4 linked regions of the Danio rerio genome follow. The protein of the gene in region 2 purifies or fractionates together with the protein of the main gene of each other region. This does not show direct contact. Links are inferred from orthologs where the notes say so. Each region holds a gene or a part of one and is shown on either strand. Other genes may lie near its edges.

Region 1 (3,567 bases), on a different chromosome or scaffold from region 2:
TAATTTGCGAACATCATTTTTTGGGTGCATATTATTTTAGTGTAGGGCCATAGGCTACAGAATGTCTCAAGTAAAGTAACCATAGTTGAAGCTTTCCCATGTTTTACCCTCTATTCAAGTCAAATTCGTTTCATCTACAGATTTTACTCTTCATGGTATATTGTGATTACATATGAATCCAGGCCTTGATCCTTTGCGTGAGAGTCTCCATGATGTTTCGCTCATTGCCACAAAGCACTTCATCTCATGTTTTTTTTTTTTTATCTACTAGAGGCCAGCAGTAATATTGAGCGGTAGCCTTCATCAGGGAGAGTTTGCTTGTGTTTATTTGCAGTGTAACACGGATTGCGTTTGTTTATTCTGGCAGCGCTCCAGAGACTCGACGATGAAGACGGAGGATGAATGAGGATTTACTGACCTTATGGCAATCATGTCGGCCCACAATCGCACAAAAGCCACTTGTGGCCCAAACGCCTCCAGAATGTACGTGTAATGACCACCAGACTTTTTAATGCAGGTACCCAGCTCAGCATACGATAAAGCTCCTGAAATGGACAAAGGAAAGAACTAGTCAGGAAAAAAATGAATACCTTACTTTAGCAAAATGAGGTGATAGTGTCTGGACAATGGCCAGTGCTGGAAAGTGAGTGCCATGACTATTCAGAAAGGTGGAAAGAATTTTACAACACCTGCAAAGCAACCCTAAAGGCACATGGTTAAGTCAGTTCATTACCACCATCTGTTCGCTCTCTGAGAGGTCAAGCTCTTTACAGCTCTATGCATTTTAATGTTTTAACGAATGCTCGGAATCAAAGCCCTTCTTCTCTTGCAGCCCTTGACTCCTGTGAGCTTCAAAACGCAATTGTAAAGAGAGCTCTAAAATACATTAAGAGTTCACAATGCAGATCTGAAGTCTCTCAGAGAGAAATAGTGGATGAATGGACAGTTTTTTATTATTATTTTTTTTGAACCGCGGCTTGGCTTTTCCTCAAAGCCTGCGGGCTGCTGCACACAAAGGAAAGCTGACAAGTGTGAAATGACTCCTGACATACACATGAATAAACACACTGTCAAACAATGCTCTTCTTATACACAAACTAATTCTTCTCCGACACCCGTCAGCCTTCGCGGTGTCAGACTGTGCTCTCCTCAGCATCAAAGTGCAGCGTAAGACAATATCGGCCTCCATCAAGCACGGATGCACACATTACGCATTAGAGAGGTCATGAGTCAAGGTTCTTCATGCATAAACCGGGTTTCTTTCTTAGTGACTATCAGCAAAACCTGGAGTCTTTAGTAATGTATTGATTTTTTTTTAACTCTTGTGTGCTGTTGGGGATGTTTTCATCAACTCTGGGGGGATTTTGAGTCTTAATTTTGGCCACCATTTTTTTCTGTGTTTCAGCAAATGGAATGCTTTTTTTGTGACATCTTATTTTGACACCCATTTGGGGAAAATGCTTTGAAAATGTAAAAAAAAAAATCCAACAAAACACTCAAATTTACTACTCTTTTATTATGTCAGTGGCTGTTTTTGCCCCATTGACTTCCATTCTAATGACATTTTTGGATTGCAAAGCCATACAATCATGCATTTTTTAATTTATTACTTGCATAAAGTGTACAAACTAGTAACTAAAAAGTAAAAACCTGTATCTTTTGAAAAGGAGACACCCTAATGACATCTTTATTTAATATACTTTAATTATCTGTAGTGCATGTACAGTGCTCAGCATATACAGTATGCAAACACCCTTACAAATCTCTCACTTAAATTAATATTTTATATAGGAATCTTCACAATATTACAATTGTGCTTATTTATTAGTTTAGCCACAACTGAAGCCATATCTGGAGCTAATCTAACAAAATAACTTGTAATGGTGCAAAAATATGTGTACACCCATTTTTAAATGTTAGGGGAAAATATAAAACATAATTTTCAAAAATAGCACAAATGATATTGTGCAACAAAAGATATATAAATATAAGTTGAAATGTTGTAGTTTGTATTTTTTGCATTATTTTGCATGAATTTAAATGTCGTGTCTTTCCATTTCCAAAGATGTTCTCTGACTAAAATATTATTTTAATAAAAATATCTATTTAATAAATCTGTTTTGTTTAATTCCACCAATATATATTATCCAAATTCAATGAGAAAAAAAAAAAAAATTTCAAAATGGAGTGTACTCATAAATGCTGAGCACTGTATATGTAGAAATTAACTATGAATATATGCATACACTAATATATACACATATACAAACAATATAAAAAAATGGAATATTTTAACACATGTTTTCCCATTAATTATCATTCACCCATATTTGTGGTTCACATTTGTTTTCCATGTATTTATCCTTGCAATTTTAAGCTATTGATTTCTGAGCTGACAGGAGTACAATATTACAATAATAAAATAACAGAAAGAGATGCTGTTACATACAATTTATTGTTTTAAACTACTAAAATGGTCAATAATGTCACATTAACCAATTTTATTTGACATAAAGGATTGCTAGTAAGCAGAAAAGTATACGTTATTATTATTATTATTATTATTATTATTATTATTATTAATAATATTATTATCATCATCATCGTCATCATCATCATTATTATTATAGATGATATATGACAAATTATATTTTATGACTTGTCGGTGGGAGTTTTTAAACTTGACTTTGGGGAAATGATTAATATGTAATTTTGCAATGTAAGCAATGAGCACCTTATCCAAGACATTGATTACATTTACTTTTTGGACACACAGCTTTGTCCTCAGTACTGTAATTCAAAATAGACATTCTCATTCTTCTAAATGTGATATTAGTCATTTAGTTAATCCTGTGATTAAATAAATAAATAAATAAGAGCATATACAGTAAAAGTAAGAATCATTAGCCCTCCTGAATAATTTGCCCTTCCTATAAATAAAATAAATAAATAAATCAATCAATCAATTAAATAAATAAATAAACAAATCCTCCCTAAAATATTTTTTTCACCAATTTCTGTTTTTTTCAGAAACATTTCTAAACATAATAGTTTGTTTTATACTGTATAGACAATCTGAAAAACAAACATTGCTTAAGGAGGCTAATAATATTGACCTTAAAATGATTTAAAAATAATAATAAAAGCTGCTTTTATTCTAGCCAAAACAAAACAAGTAAAGTTTCACCAGAAGAAAAAAATATTATAGGAAATACTGTGACAAATTCCTTTGTTTTGATAAACACCATTTGGCAAATGTTTGAAAAAGAGAAAAAGAAAATCACAGGATGCATAATAATATTGACATCAACTGTATGTTGATATTCATTATAGTTATTGTGTGTGTGATCATGCCAATTTTTTAAAGATTATTATTATTATTATTTATTCTTATTGTTTATTTTTATTTCTTTGTGAATAAAAACCTAAATTTCTCTGTTCCTCACACTATGCAACTATAAAAGTGCTTCAGAAGAGTTTGATCACACTTTTTTTGTCATTTTTTGTCAGCCTGTTGTCTACATTTACTTTCATTGTGTGGAAGAGAACAGCTGAGACCTGCAGAGT
Region 2 (4,256 bases):
GTAGAGACTGCACTTAGAAAGGTACTAACACTAATGGTGTAACGGATCACAAATCTCACGGTTCAGATCACATTATGACCTTTTAGTCATGGATCGGACCATTTTTCGGATCAGCCAAAAAGGGGAGGAGACAAATGTAATATGCTTTCCATTTATTACAAAAACAGTACTGCAAGAAACTTTTGGTTTTAGCAAACAGAACCTAGAACCTGTAATTTTATTAAAAATAAAATATAGAAATAATCAGCTCAATAAAAATAAATAGTAAAATATTCAGTACTGTGAAAAATTCCCTGTTACTACTACTGTAGCTGATAACGCTACACATAGAAATCTAACATTATTTGTGCAATTCATATTTATTTTTAGTCTCATTTTCAATAAATGATGCAGTTATTTACTAATAAAACTTCATGTTTCATTACCATATGTGTCATTTTTGAAGAATTATTCAGTGGCATATTTTTGATGGCTGGTTGGTTGGCTACCTATTGGTTAAATAATGTAATTGCTGTTTACAACTTTCATTTTTAAACAAATGACAGTGATTTTAATCTTTACCATAAACATCAGTGTTTTCATCTAAACTATAAACTATTATCCGAGTACTTCTGTGTTATTTGCCTGTTTGTAACAGTCAAAAGACTAAAAACTGAATCTCTTTCTTGATTTTTGCATTTTTCAAGCACAGATTTCAATTTGGTGATTCGAAGGGTTAATAAACCTATGCAAATCACCATCATTTATAATTGATGTTGCATGGGTGCTAAGATCCCGATCTTTTAATGATTAATAGTGCTGCTTACACTGAATGGATTAATGCAGGCTAAACAAAAAAATTAAAGAAAACACTTTTAATAACCTTAAAAAAACACCACATCCTGAATAACCTAACACGACTTATCATTATATTTACAGGAAAGCCTAAATCTTTTTATACATGTGATTTGAATGACGCTAGAGGCGATCTCTCTGTGACCATTACAAATTTATGATTAATCTACCACTAAAAAAAGTATTTTAATGTGTGCGTTCCGAACCATGGGATATGATCCATACCAATCAGGAATCAACAGTGATCTGTTACACCTCTTGCTAACACAATATAAAACGCAAACAAAATAAATTATACACTGTTTATTATTTGAATACATTTATTTCCATGATTACTCCAACACGGAAAATATTATTTCAGCTCATAATATATATGGAACTCAAAAAAAAAAAATTTAATTTGCAACATTACCAACTGCTCTGAAAAGACACGCTCCATCTTCCTTCATTTTTTTTATTTCAAAGCCTTTCTTTTCCCTCAATGCTTTCTCAAACCATTCTTCTTGCTGTAGGCCAAAAAACAAAGTACATTACAGCAACAATGAATACTTGTATCACCAAAAACAGACAAAGCATCCAAATAAAACATTTGAACCCTAAAAATAATAGTGTTTTGAGCGTTCGCTCAAACATGTAAATGTCACCTTTTGTTACACACTAAACAGATTTATTTTTTTGATATACAAATCCAGAGAAAATCTGCAGACAATTCAGACAGAAATAAAAACAAGTCATACATTAAAAATCCTAATTTTCTTAGTCATTGAATACATTAGACTAGAAATGGCCAATATCTGGGTGACACAGTGGCTCAGTGGGTAGCACTGTCGCCTCACAGCAAAAAGGTCACTGGTTCGAGTCCCAGCCTGGCCAGTTGGCATTTCTGTGTGGAGTTTGCATGTTCTCCCTATGTTTGGGTAGGCTTCCTCTGAGTGATCTGGTTTCCCCCACAGTCCAAAGAACTGGTCAAGGTGAACTGATAAACTAAATAGGCCTCATTGTAAAAATGTGATTGAGTCTTTACCCTTGTAGAGAGACTGTAGAGACATTGTAGAGATTTAAACACACTAATGTATTACAATATTTACATAATAATTTGATATATAACAGCCAATAAAGACAAGAGAAGGTATTAAACCTTTCTATCAATTACTGGAGCAGCAGCTATTTATTCAATTAATGTTTTAAAGAATGACACATCAACATACCTGCTCGGCTGTGGCGGGGTCCACAAGCTGAAGTCTGGCCGCATTCTCATACTCATCCTCACTGTTGTTTCCTCCAGCTCCTTCCTCGGGTTCGGACGCTGGACTCCCGCCTCCTCCTCCTCCGCCGCCCACTCTCCCTCCTCCACCTGTCAAACCGCTGGAGCAGACCGCTTGCCGTCTGCGCTTGCTGAGTCCGGGTCCCGAGCAGCAGCTTCCGACACCGCCTGCTCCGCACGGTAACTCGACCCGAGTTCCCGAGTTCGCGCTTCCTTCACACTGCACGAGCGGAGCTCCAGCGATACCAGGTTGCGGGGAGGCCGCCTGCGGGCGAGCGCTTGCTTCGATCCGCCGCTCCTCTCTGGAAGTGTGCGGTGTGGCCTGGTATGTCCACGGCGGCGGAGAGGCCCTTGATCGGGACCCCGGTCGTCCCGCGAGGGGGTGAGGGTGCGTCTCAGAGCCACCTCTTCTGTCCGGTTCGTCCGTGTGATCACCGCCACCGCCTGCGGACACCGGTTTCTTCTTCGGGAGGATTGTCATCGCTGGCCAGCTTGCGGTGATTTGTGTTGTTGCGAGTTCGCAATAGAATAAACGGCCGTTTTGATTTTTTATGAACAGTTTGTTCGCCGCATGTATAGTTGCATAATACGAGGTGTCAGTGAACTGCTACAATCACCACAGTTCGACTTTATTCCTCCGGTTTCGAGGTTTTTCTTTAGTAACAACGAACGACCGAGAGTTTGACACAAACATCAACAAACCACAATGCGATTTTCACGTCACTTCCGACGCTCGAGCTGCTTCGTGTTGACAAATGGGCTGACGTTGCTCCTCACTGCCCCCTAATGCATTAACCCTTCTATTGACTTATTTTAACCCAGTGAGCCAGTGTGAGTGTTTTATATATTTTCAAGAGCCTTTTATACCTTTAGTTGTCTATTTAACGTTTATTTCTGTTGCTGGGTTAAATATAGCAGTTGGTGGACTATTACGTCTCTAATCTGTCATTCTCCCCTGCTGAATCTTGATTCTGGCAACGCAGTGGGTAGCACGTTCACCTCACAGCAAGAAGGTTGCTGGTTCGAGCATCGGCTGGGTCAGTTGGTGATTCTGTGTGGAGTTTGCATTTTCTCCCCATGTTCAAGTGTGTTTCCTTCGGGTGCTTTGGTTTCCCTCACAAGTCCAAAGACATCCGGTACAGGTGAAATGCTCCATAGTGTATGAGTGTGTGAATGAGTGTTTATGGATGTTTCCCAGTGATTTGTTGCGGCTGGAAGGGCATCCGCTGCGTAAAACGCGCTGAATAAGTTAATTCCGCTGTGGCAACCTCGGATCGATGCATCTACATTTACTTCTGCTGTTGAAAAATAATTAATTAAATTTAAGAAAATGAAGCCAAAAGTCTGCACAGCAGGTACCAAAGCTAGATCCAATCACAAGCACTCAATCCACCACACTCCATTTCTACAGCAACATTTAACTAAATACTTGCAATTTGATAAACATCAGCATAAAGAAGCTAATAAAAATGTCAAAAACTATTTTGGGAAAAAATAAGTGTTATAAAAATCATGTCCCATAAGTTTACAGTGAGAGTGTGTGGTTTATGAGCTGTACTGCAGCCGGCCACCAGGGGGCAATCAAAGTATTTTGGCTTCTCTTTCAGCACGTGAAGCACACTTAAATCAACTTCTTTATTTTGTTGAGCTTTTTCTTTATATTTACACTATCTATCTATCTATCTATCTATCTATCTATCTATCTATCTATCTATCTATCTATCTATCTATCTATCTATCTATCTATCTATCTATCTATCTATCTATCTGTCTGTCTGTCTGTCTGTCTGTCTGTCTGTCTGTCTGTCTGTCTGTCTGTGTCTGTCTGTCTGTCTGTCTGTCTGTCTGTCTGTCTATCTATCTCTATCTCTCTCTCTCTCTTCAAGCAAGAGTCTGTCTCTCTTCAAGCAAGAGTTTAGTTACTATATACAAATGGATGATTTGGAAACTTTCGAAAATATTTGGTGCTATAATAATGCTTTGTGTTGCGTAGATGAAAGCAATGTTGTTTTTACACTTATTTGAAATGTATAGTTTTTCTTTGATTTAAATTGAATGGACTAATTTATAGTAATATTGTGTCTGTTTTAATGTAATAAAGTTTTTGTAAAACAAAATCTCTTTCTCTCTCTCTCTCTCACTCTCTCTCTCTCTCTCT
Region 3 (4,280 bases), on a different chromosome or scaffold from region 2:
CTTTAAGACCATTATTAATGAAATTTTAGACACATAAAGGGCTAAACACTAAAGAATTTTTCAAATGGCCCAGGTGGAAAATATTTTTATTTGACCCATCAAAAATATTAAAAAAGCCTAAAATCTGGATTTTGAGATATAAGACATTTGAAGACCTCGCAGAAACTCTGTAGTCGATGCCTCAGATATCAGATTTTCAAAAGTTGCACATCAGAAGTGGTATATTAAATTTAAGACTGAGATATTTTTAAGACCATTATGAATGAAATTTTAGACTTACAAAGGGCTAAAGGCTAAGGAATTTTTCAAATGGCCCAGATGGAAAAAAAAAAATTATTTGACCTATCAAAAACATTTATTACAATTTAATACATTTAATAATACAGTAATAATAAACAATTTATATACTTTAGATTTTATTTCTTAGCTAAATGTTTTAAATATTGTGTAAAAACAAGCAAGCTCTGCTTGTCTCCATACACTTTTTTTTCCCCGAACATAATATTTCTTTAAAATAAAAAAATGAACAAACGGTTTGAAAACTATAATAAACAAAATCCATTGGCAACAGTCTGTCCAGGTCGGTGTACTCAGGAGAACATTTAAACATGTTATTGTAAGGAAAGTAACTAAACCATTATGATAAAGTTTCAAAAATTACCTTTTAAATAAAGTTTAAAGTTATATTGAGATGATTGTTGGTGAATGTATGGGTTTGGGCCAGATTGAGCAGCAATAGTTGAACAAAGGAAATTTAGACCTGTTTAAAAAAAAAATAATTTAAGACCTACAACACAATATTGTAGTAAATTTAAGACTTCAAAGATTAAAATCTGGATTTTGATATTTAAGACATTTGAAGACTTTTAGACCTCTCAGAAACCCTGATAGAAGTGCAGTTAGTTTTATATTCAGATATTCAGACATTCTTCTTAATAATATAATTTTCAGAAAAGTATTCTTTGCTAATTCTAAATAAAGAAATAATACAAGCGACCAAAGACTATCAAAGTACAACACTGTTTACAGTCAATTAGACGGTGTTAATGTTGTTTAGAAGTCATACTTGCATGCTAATTCTGATCGAATGTTTAAATTAACATAATAAACAATATAGAGACTGCTAAATGAACGAATGTGTGAATATAAAAAAACTACCTTACCTCTATGAAACCCTGTACTTGATCCCTCAAATTTCATAGAGGTAAAGTTGGTTCACACATTCATTCATTTAGAAGTCTCTATATTGTTTTCCCTGTTACTTTGAATATTCGATTGGAATTAGCATGCAAGTATGACTTCAAAATAACAGTAACACTATCTAATTGACTGTAAACAGTGTTGCACTTTGATATTAATTTGCTGCTAATATGATTTCCCTATTTAAAATTTGCAAAAAACACTTTCCTGAAATTATATTAAGGAGAATGTCTGAATATCCCAATATAAAACCAACTTCACCTCTATTCAGATTTTTCAATGGTTGCGCATCAGAAGTGCTATATTTTGTATATTTTCTAACAAACCACACATTACCAGGCAGCTTTGTTCAGCTTTCAGATCATGTTTACATCTCAGTTAACTTAACCACACAGTTCTGACTGGTTTTGTGGTCCAGGGTATCATATTATAGCGAAGTGATTATAGAATATATGAAGAGTTCAGATGCAAAAACCTCAAAGCTATCTGAGATGTTCTCCTAAACTGAACATTTATTTCAGCCTCTTGTTTATGTTCAGTTTTTTTCACTTTAAAGGCAATGTTAATAACTTATTTGTCACTATTAAAGTAAAATTACCTAGCCTAAACACAGGAGTTGGAGAAAAATGGTCATTTTAGAAGAAAATATCAGATGTCTTTGATAGGTTTTTGCATCTAAACCCTTCATATGTAAAACAATAAGCATAAAGCACAATAATTTTCTTCAGGAAACGAGTCATCAGACCCTTTAAACACAATTTAGACTCAAGTTTACAACAAAGTAACACTTAAGTTGATGCTAACAGTTCTGTTTCCCACCTGCAGCATGTCTTAGTACGAGCTAAGCTAGCTTACATGCTACATCTCACACAACTTCTGCATCCTCGAAAAACACACCAGCCATAAACCAATACAAGAACATGAACGAAACACACTGTCTGTGTGTTTAACGTGTGTTTATGCTACACACGAGATTTATTATGAGGCGGAAATTACGTGAAAACTGGAAGCATTACATGCTAGCATGCTAACCAGTTAGCCGCTGCGCTAATCAACACATGAACGTTCAAAATAACAGCAAAGTTGAGTTATTTCTTAATAAACGAACAGAAATCACACCATAAACACTAAAACACGAACTCAACCGGCGGAGTGTGTTTATATAACGTTAACAGTTCTGTAGAGCTGAGGCCTGAGATGTGTGTGAGAGAGGATTTCAGCATCAAAGACGCACATAAACACATCAGATATGGATAAATATGATCGAATATGATCAATAATCAGATGTTGTGGTGTTTATGACACACACTGAGCTCTCCGTACCTTCCAGTTGCCGTAGAGTCGCTTGATGCGGCGGTAAAAAGCGTCTTTATCCAGACTCACCGCCATAATATCACATCAACACACACACTGAAGTCCAGCAGCGCGCGCGCACGCACACACACACACACTCTCACTCACTCACACACACTTATACACACTTTCACTCTACTGTTTCTGTTCTTCACAGCACGACACACTCGATACACGCTCAGAAAAATAACGACGGCGAGACAAATTCAAAAATATTCAAATTCAAATTTTAAAAAGACGGTTACTACGGTTTAAAATGCCTGAGTGCCGTTATAAGTGCTGTCGGTCTCTTTCGCGCTGTGAATGCAGTGAATAATCACGCATGTGCGTCCGCTGAAGCCCCGCCCCCTCTCATATATACGCGTCCCTTTAACATTTATTTCCATTTATTAAAACACGCGTTCATTTTGAGCACATCTAGCTTACTTCACAAACTTGTAGGCTGTCCATTTAATTATTATTTATTTATTTCAATTATAAATGCATATATTTATTTAATTATGCTGCCATTTTGTGACTGTTTACAAATGTTCAATTGTTATTATGTGCTAAACATCGTGATCATCCAAAAAGTTCAAAATGCTGAGCTCAAGCTACACACGAGACGGGCATCTGTGCTTGTTTAGTAACTATATCCGCATGTAGGTTGGATTTTAATCGCATGTGCGGTGTTTATTACGCTTTTGTTTTCCTGCGTTTCCCTCCCTCACGGAAAACTCCCGCCCTGGCAGTGACGTCATGTAGGATACGTCCAATAAAATCTACGTTAATGTGGTCACGTGATGAGCTCTGTCTTGAAATCCCCGCCCTGGAGGGAACCTCATCGCGTTCTTGACGTTCACGCGCACGGCTTCTTTCCCGCCATCTAGTGTCACTTAAAAGCGCGCGAACTCCAGCAGAGCACGTGGGTTTGGCGCGCTTGAAGCAGAGTGAGGAGAGCGCTGAATTATTTACAGTCTCCATTATATTTCTCTGTGGGGTTTTTTTGGGAAAAAATAAGTGGGTAACAAAATAACAATTAGATGATTATTGAAATATTCCATTAGTTTTTTTAAACATTTAAATAATACATTTAAATTAATTCTAACATTTAAATAATATATAAAATTTTATTTTAACATTTAAATAATAAATTTCATTTTATTTTAACATTTAAATAATAAATACAATTTTATTTTATCATTTAAACAATAAATTACATTTTATTGTAAAATTTAAATAATAAATAAAATTTTATTTTATCATTTAAACAATAAATTACATTTTATTGTAAAATTTAAATAATAAATAAAATTTTATTTTATCATTTAAACAATAAATTACATTTTATTGTAACATTTAAATAATAAATACAATTTTATTTTATCATTTAAATAATAAATTACATTTTATAGTAACATTTAAATAATAAATTGCATTTTATTTTAACATTTAAATGATAAATTAAAATTAATTTTAACATGAAAAATAATAAATTACATTTTATTTTAACATTTAAATAATAAATTACATTTTATTGTAACATTTAAATAATAAACTAGATTTTATTTTAACATTTAAATAATAAATTAAAATTAATTTTAACATTTAAATAATAAATTACATTTTATTTTAACATTTAAATAATTCAATTAATTTTAACAATTAAATAATACATTTTTATTTTAACATTTAAATAATAAATTAGATTTTATTTTAACATTTAAATAATAAATAAAAAAAATTGT
Region 4 (4,092 bases), about 28 Mb from region 2:
CCTGTAATTTACTGCTTCTCACACACAACATGTAAATATATATATATATATTTGGTGCATCAGTAAAGCTGGCCACTGTGCGCTGTTCATCCTCCCTCCTGTTTAATGTTTATAAGTGTGTGATAATTGTAGAAGTGTTTCAGTGAGGTTAACTCTGTGTTCATAGTATAAGAGAGCGTGTTTTTCTTAATAACTGTACATTTTCTTTGATATGACACCACACAGGCTCCTTATATTGATGTGTGTGTGTGTGTGTGTGTGTGTGTGTGTTCAGTAGAGCTCCTGCAGTTGTCTTCTCCGTGTTCTGCACTCTTCAGCTCAGCGGCAGTGTGAGGATGTGTTTACCCGCTGCTGCTGGAGGAGTGTGTCCTGCACCGCTGTAATGAGGTAAACTGTGGTAAAGCGCTGTTAGTGCTGGCCGGAGCTGCTCATTCCCAGGAGGAGCAGAACAACATCAGTCACAATCACGACACTCACAGACTCAACAACACAACAACAACAACACGTCATCAAACACATCCACCGAGCTGAACCAGCATAATCGAGACATCATAACACGGGTCATTACGAGCACTGTATATACTGAACACACACACACACACACACACACTTCTGAGCACTCACCACGTTTCTCCGCGCGTGCACAGCTAGTTAAACTAGTTTATGAGAGTGCAGCGCGCATCGCTTCTGCTCCGCGGCGCTCAGATGCGGGCTGTTGTGCGGAGTTTGCTGTTGACTGAGGATTTCAGTTCATATTTCAGAAGTTTAACTCATTAAAGTTTGTGTGAGAAACTCTGGCCTGTTCACAGTCTGTCTCAACTCACTTCCTGTTTGATCTCAAGGCGGAGCGACACGACTAGACCCTCACACACTTCAGCCAATCACAACACACTTCCAGCAGTCACCTAACACACTTACACCAGTAAACTTACCTCACTAGCACACTTACACCAGTAAACTTACCTCACTAACACACTTACACCAGTAAACCTCAATATTACCCTAATAAACGACTTGAACTGCATCCCCACATCAGCAGACATTGGGTGAGTGTGAACACGTGTGCTGTGAGTTGTGTTTGACTGCAGGTAATTCAGCACACATGATTAATGTGCTCCTCATCATTTATGTTGTGTTTTCTGAATAAACACTTTGCAGTTTGGGTTCCACTGTCGCCTCACAGCAAGAAGGTCGCTGGTTTGAGTCTCGGCTGGGTCAGTTGGTGTTTCTGTGTGGAGTTTGCATGTTCTCCCCGTGTTGGCGTGGGTTTCCTCCAGGTGCTCCGGTTTCCCCCACAGTCCAAACACATGCGCTATAGGGGAATTGGGTAGGCTAAATTGTCCGTAGTGTATGAGTGTGTATGGATGTTTCCCAGAGATGGGTTGCAGCTGGAAGGGCATCCGCTGCGTAAAAAATATGCTGGATAAGTTGGCGGTTCATTCCGCTGTGACGACCCAAGATTAATAAAGGGACTAAGCCGAAAAGAAAATAAATAAATGAATGTTTCCTGCAACACATTTCAGAAACAGCTGCATCAGTGAAGCGTTTCCCACTCTGTCATGCTGCCGCTCCTCTTCACAACACTCAGAGACGTTTAGGGACTGAAGACGGCGAGTGCTGAAGTGTTTCAGGGATAATTCTGTCTCATTCCTCCTGCAAACAAGTCTTAGTGTAGGCAACAGTACAGCGCCACACATTCTCTATTGGAGACAGGTCAGGACTGCAGGCAGGTCAGTCCAGCGTCTGTCTCCTCTGGAGCATCACAGAAGAGCAGGTCACCTTCGCCAAGAGCACCGACACAACCCCAGACCATGACAGAGCCGGGCTGCTGGACGTGTTGCTGGTGTCAGTCTGGATGATCCTCTTCTTCTTTGGTGTGGAGCACACGGCGTCCATTTCTCCCAGAAACACCTGAAACACTGCTTCATCTGAGCACAGGACACGTCTCCACTGTGTGATGCTGCATCCCAGACGCCTCCCAGCCCAGAGAAGCGCTGCTGGACACTGTTAACATAGGGCTTCCTCTTGGCACAGTGCAGTGTTGGCTGGTGTTTGTGGATGTGACTCTGTATTGTGCTGCTTGTCACAGGTTTAGCGCAGTAGTGCTGAGCCCATGTGCTGATCTGCTTATAGATGAATGAAGATTCTTGATTTGTAGTAAAGCTACATCACCAACACACGTCATCAGCATATGATAATGTGCATTTCTGTGAGGGCGAGGCCACAGACACTCTTATTAACCTGAGAGAAAATTAAATGAAAATGTGTGTGTCCAGCAGGTGTCAGCAGTGTGTGTTGTGTTTCCTCTGTCTCAGCAGGTACAGACAGGTGAAGGCCTCATCATGTGCTGGGTTAGATGTGGTTGTGTTAGGGTTATTAGATCCTGAAATCTCAGATTGCACATAACATCAGCTGTGAGTCAGTAATGTGTGCAGTCTCAGGACAGACACTGACGCGTCACTCAACCAGAACAGAAGATACTTTGAAGAATGTTGAACACCTGTAGCCATTCACTTCCATTGTAGGAAAATAAATACTGTAGAGGTCAATGGTTACAGGTTTTCCTTTGTGTTCAACTGAAGAAAGAAACTCATTAAGGGTTTGAAATGCCTGAGGAAGTGTGTATGATGACAGTGTTAAAGTTATGTGTGAACTAACCCTTTAAAGGCACTTCATCAGACTGAGCAGTGAGTGTGATGGGCGAGAGAGGATCGACACAGTGAACTCAGATTAGAGAAAGCTGAGAGCGGAAGTGGAGCGCTGCCTCCGCCTGCTGAACGTGTAGATTTCACTTCTGCTCCATCTCCGAGCTCTTCAGTCTGCACACACACACACACACACACACACTCACACACACTCACCATGGCCTACCAGCTGAAACTGGCGGAGAAGCTGCTGATCCTCCGTGACCGTGGGCAGGGTGTGCTGGTGCGCATCAACCACATCAAGAAGGTGAGCGGAGCCGCTTCTGAAGTCCTCAGTCCAGATCCACACGCTGAAACCCTCTGCTTTATACGTTCCTGCTGCTCCTCACTGTGGACCTGACTGAGCGATGCTGGAAACAGTGTCCGGTGTAGTCTAACAGATCTTAGAAATGAGGGATATGTCTGTCTGCTCTGAGAACTGCTCTGTGTACAGCTGTTCAGACACGCGTGCTCGTCTTCTTCATATAATACACCTGCATTATTCACCTTAAAGAGTCGTAATGGCAGCATCAGTGGCAGGAAGCGGCTTCACTGCTCTGTGTTTTTCATTGGTTTATGATGTGTGCTCTTCTGTTCTGGTTTTCTTCATGTAGTTTGGAGAGTTTGTGCTGTGTTTTCTGCTTTGTGTTTTCTGAAGAAAGTCATGTTGAGTGTCAGTTTTGGAGAGAAAGAGGAAGTGCATGCAGGAAGTGAACGGGACTGTGAAAACCACATCTCTGTTTCTCTCTCTCTCTCAAAGACAGACACACACACACACACACACACACACACACATACACACACACTCAGCTTCAGAACAGTGTTACACAGTGTTTCATGTCCATCTATATAACACACACACACACACACACACACACACACTACTCAATACTCAGACACACTCGGCTCGCCTCCTGTTTTTCACATACTATACAGTAGGGAGGCATGTGACATAGACATATAAGGCGTCTAGAGCTCAAGCATGATTCCTCAAGTCAGCGTATCAGTGTGTGTGCGGTCGTCTGTAGTGTCTGAATCTATGATGAGCTGTACAGGGTTGGATATCCTGCTAATTGTTTACACCTGTGTCTTCTCAGTCCAAATCCTCGTCTCTCCATCAGTCTTTCATTGCTGTGTTTGACTTCAAAAGCATGTTGTGGTGAACTTTGACAGACTAGGCATCAACAGGTGTTATTGTTCTCAGGATGGCGCATCTCATATAATGATTAAAACTTATTATCGGGTTATAAGGAGATATAGAGTGTATTGTCAGCATAACAGTGGTCTCAAAGGTCATCTCACGTCTCCCTAAGGTCATCACTAGTCTATAAAGGTCATTGCTAGTCTCTCAAAGGCCATTACTATTATGTAAAGATCATAACTAGTCTCCCAAAGGTCATCACTAATT

The links.
Region 1: the proteins of otud5b (region 2) and slc7a11 purify together in Homo sapiens (affinity purification with western blotting; 3 studies listed by BioGRID, with this or other methods). This does not show direct contact. The link is inferred for Danio rerio from reciprocal best matches to the Homo sapiens genes OTUD5 and SLC7A11.
Region 3: the proteins of otud5b (region 2) and supt16h purify together in Homo sapiens (affinity purification with mass spectrometry; 3 studies listed by BioGRID, with this or other methods). This does not show direct contact. The link is inferred for Danio rerio from reciprocal best matches to the Homo sapiens genes OTUD5 and SUPT16H.
Region 4: the proteins of otud5b (region 2) and cdk4 purify together in Homo sapiens (affinity purification with mass spectrometry, with the first as the bait; 4 studies listed by BioGRID). This does not show direct contact. The link is inferred for Danio rerio from reciprocal best matches to the Homo sapiens genes OTUD5 and CDK4.

Annotation. Positions count from the first base shown.
Region 1 is NC_133189.1:46,490,518-46,494,084, reverse strand, and holds part of slc7a11 (cystine/glutamate transporter), read right to left. Parts: intron 546-3,567; coding exon 419-545; intron 1-418. UniProt on the Homo sapiens protein: Heterodimer with SLC3A2, that functions as an antiporter by mediating the exchange of extracellular anionic L-cystine and intracellular L-glutamate across the cellular plasma membrane.
Region 2 is NC_133186.1:27,753,117-27,757,372, reverse strand, and holds the start of otud5b (OTU domain-containing protein 5b), read right to left. Parts: upstream 2,818-4,256; 5' UTR 2,580-2,817; coding exon 2,043-2,579; intron 1,341-2,042; coding exon 1,247-1,340; intron 1-1,246. UniProt on the Homo sapiens protein: Deubiquitinating enzyme that functions as a negative regulator of the innate immune system. Has peptidase activity towards 'Lys-48'- and 'Lys-63'-linked polyubiquitin chains. Can also cleave 'Lys-11'-linked ubiquitin chains (in vitro).
Region 3 is NC_133182.1:2,043,909-2,048,188, reverse strand, and holds the start of supt16h (FACT complex subunit SPT16), read right to left. Parts: upstream 2,864-4,280; 5' UTR 2,590-2,863; coding exon 2,524-2,589; intron 1-2,523. UniProt on the Homo sapiens protein: Component of the FACT complex, a general chromatin factor that acts to reorganize nucleosomes. The FACT complex is involved in multiple processes that require DNA as a template such as mRNA elongation, DNA replication and DNA repair.
Region 4 is NC_133186.1:164,483-168,574, forward strand, and holds the start of cdk4 (cyclin-dependent kinase 4), read right to left. Parts: upstream 2,863-4,092; 5' UTR 2,862-2,862; exon of another isoform or gene 2,558-2,861; intron 831-2,557; exon of another isoform or gene 625-830; intron 1-624.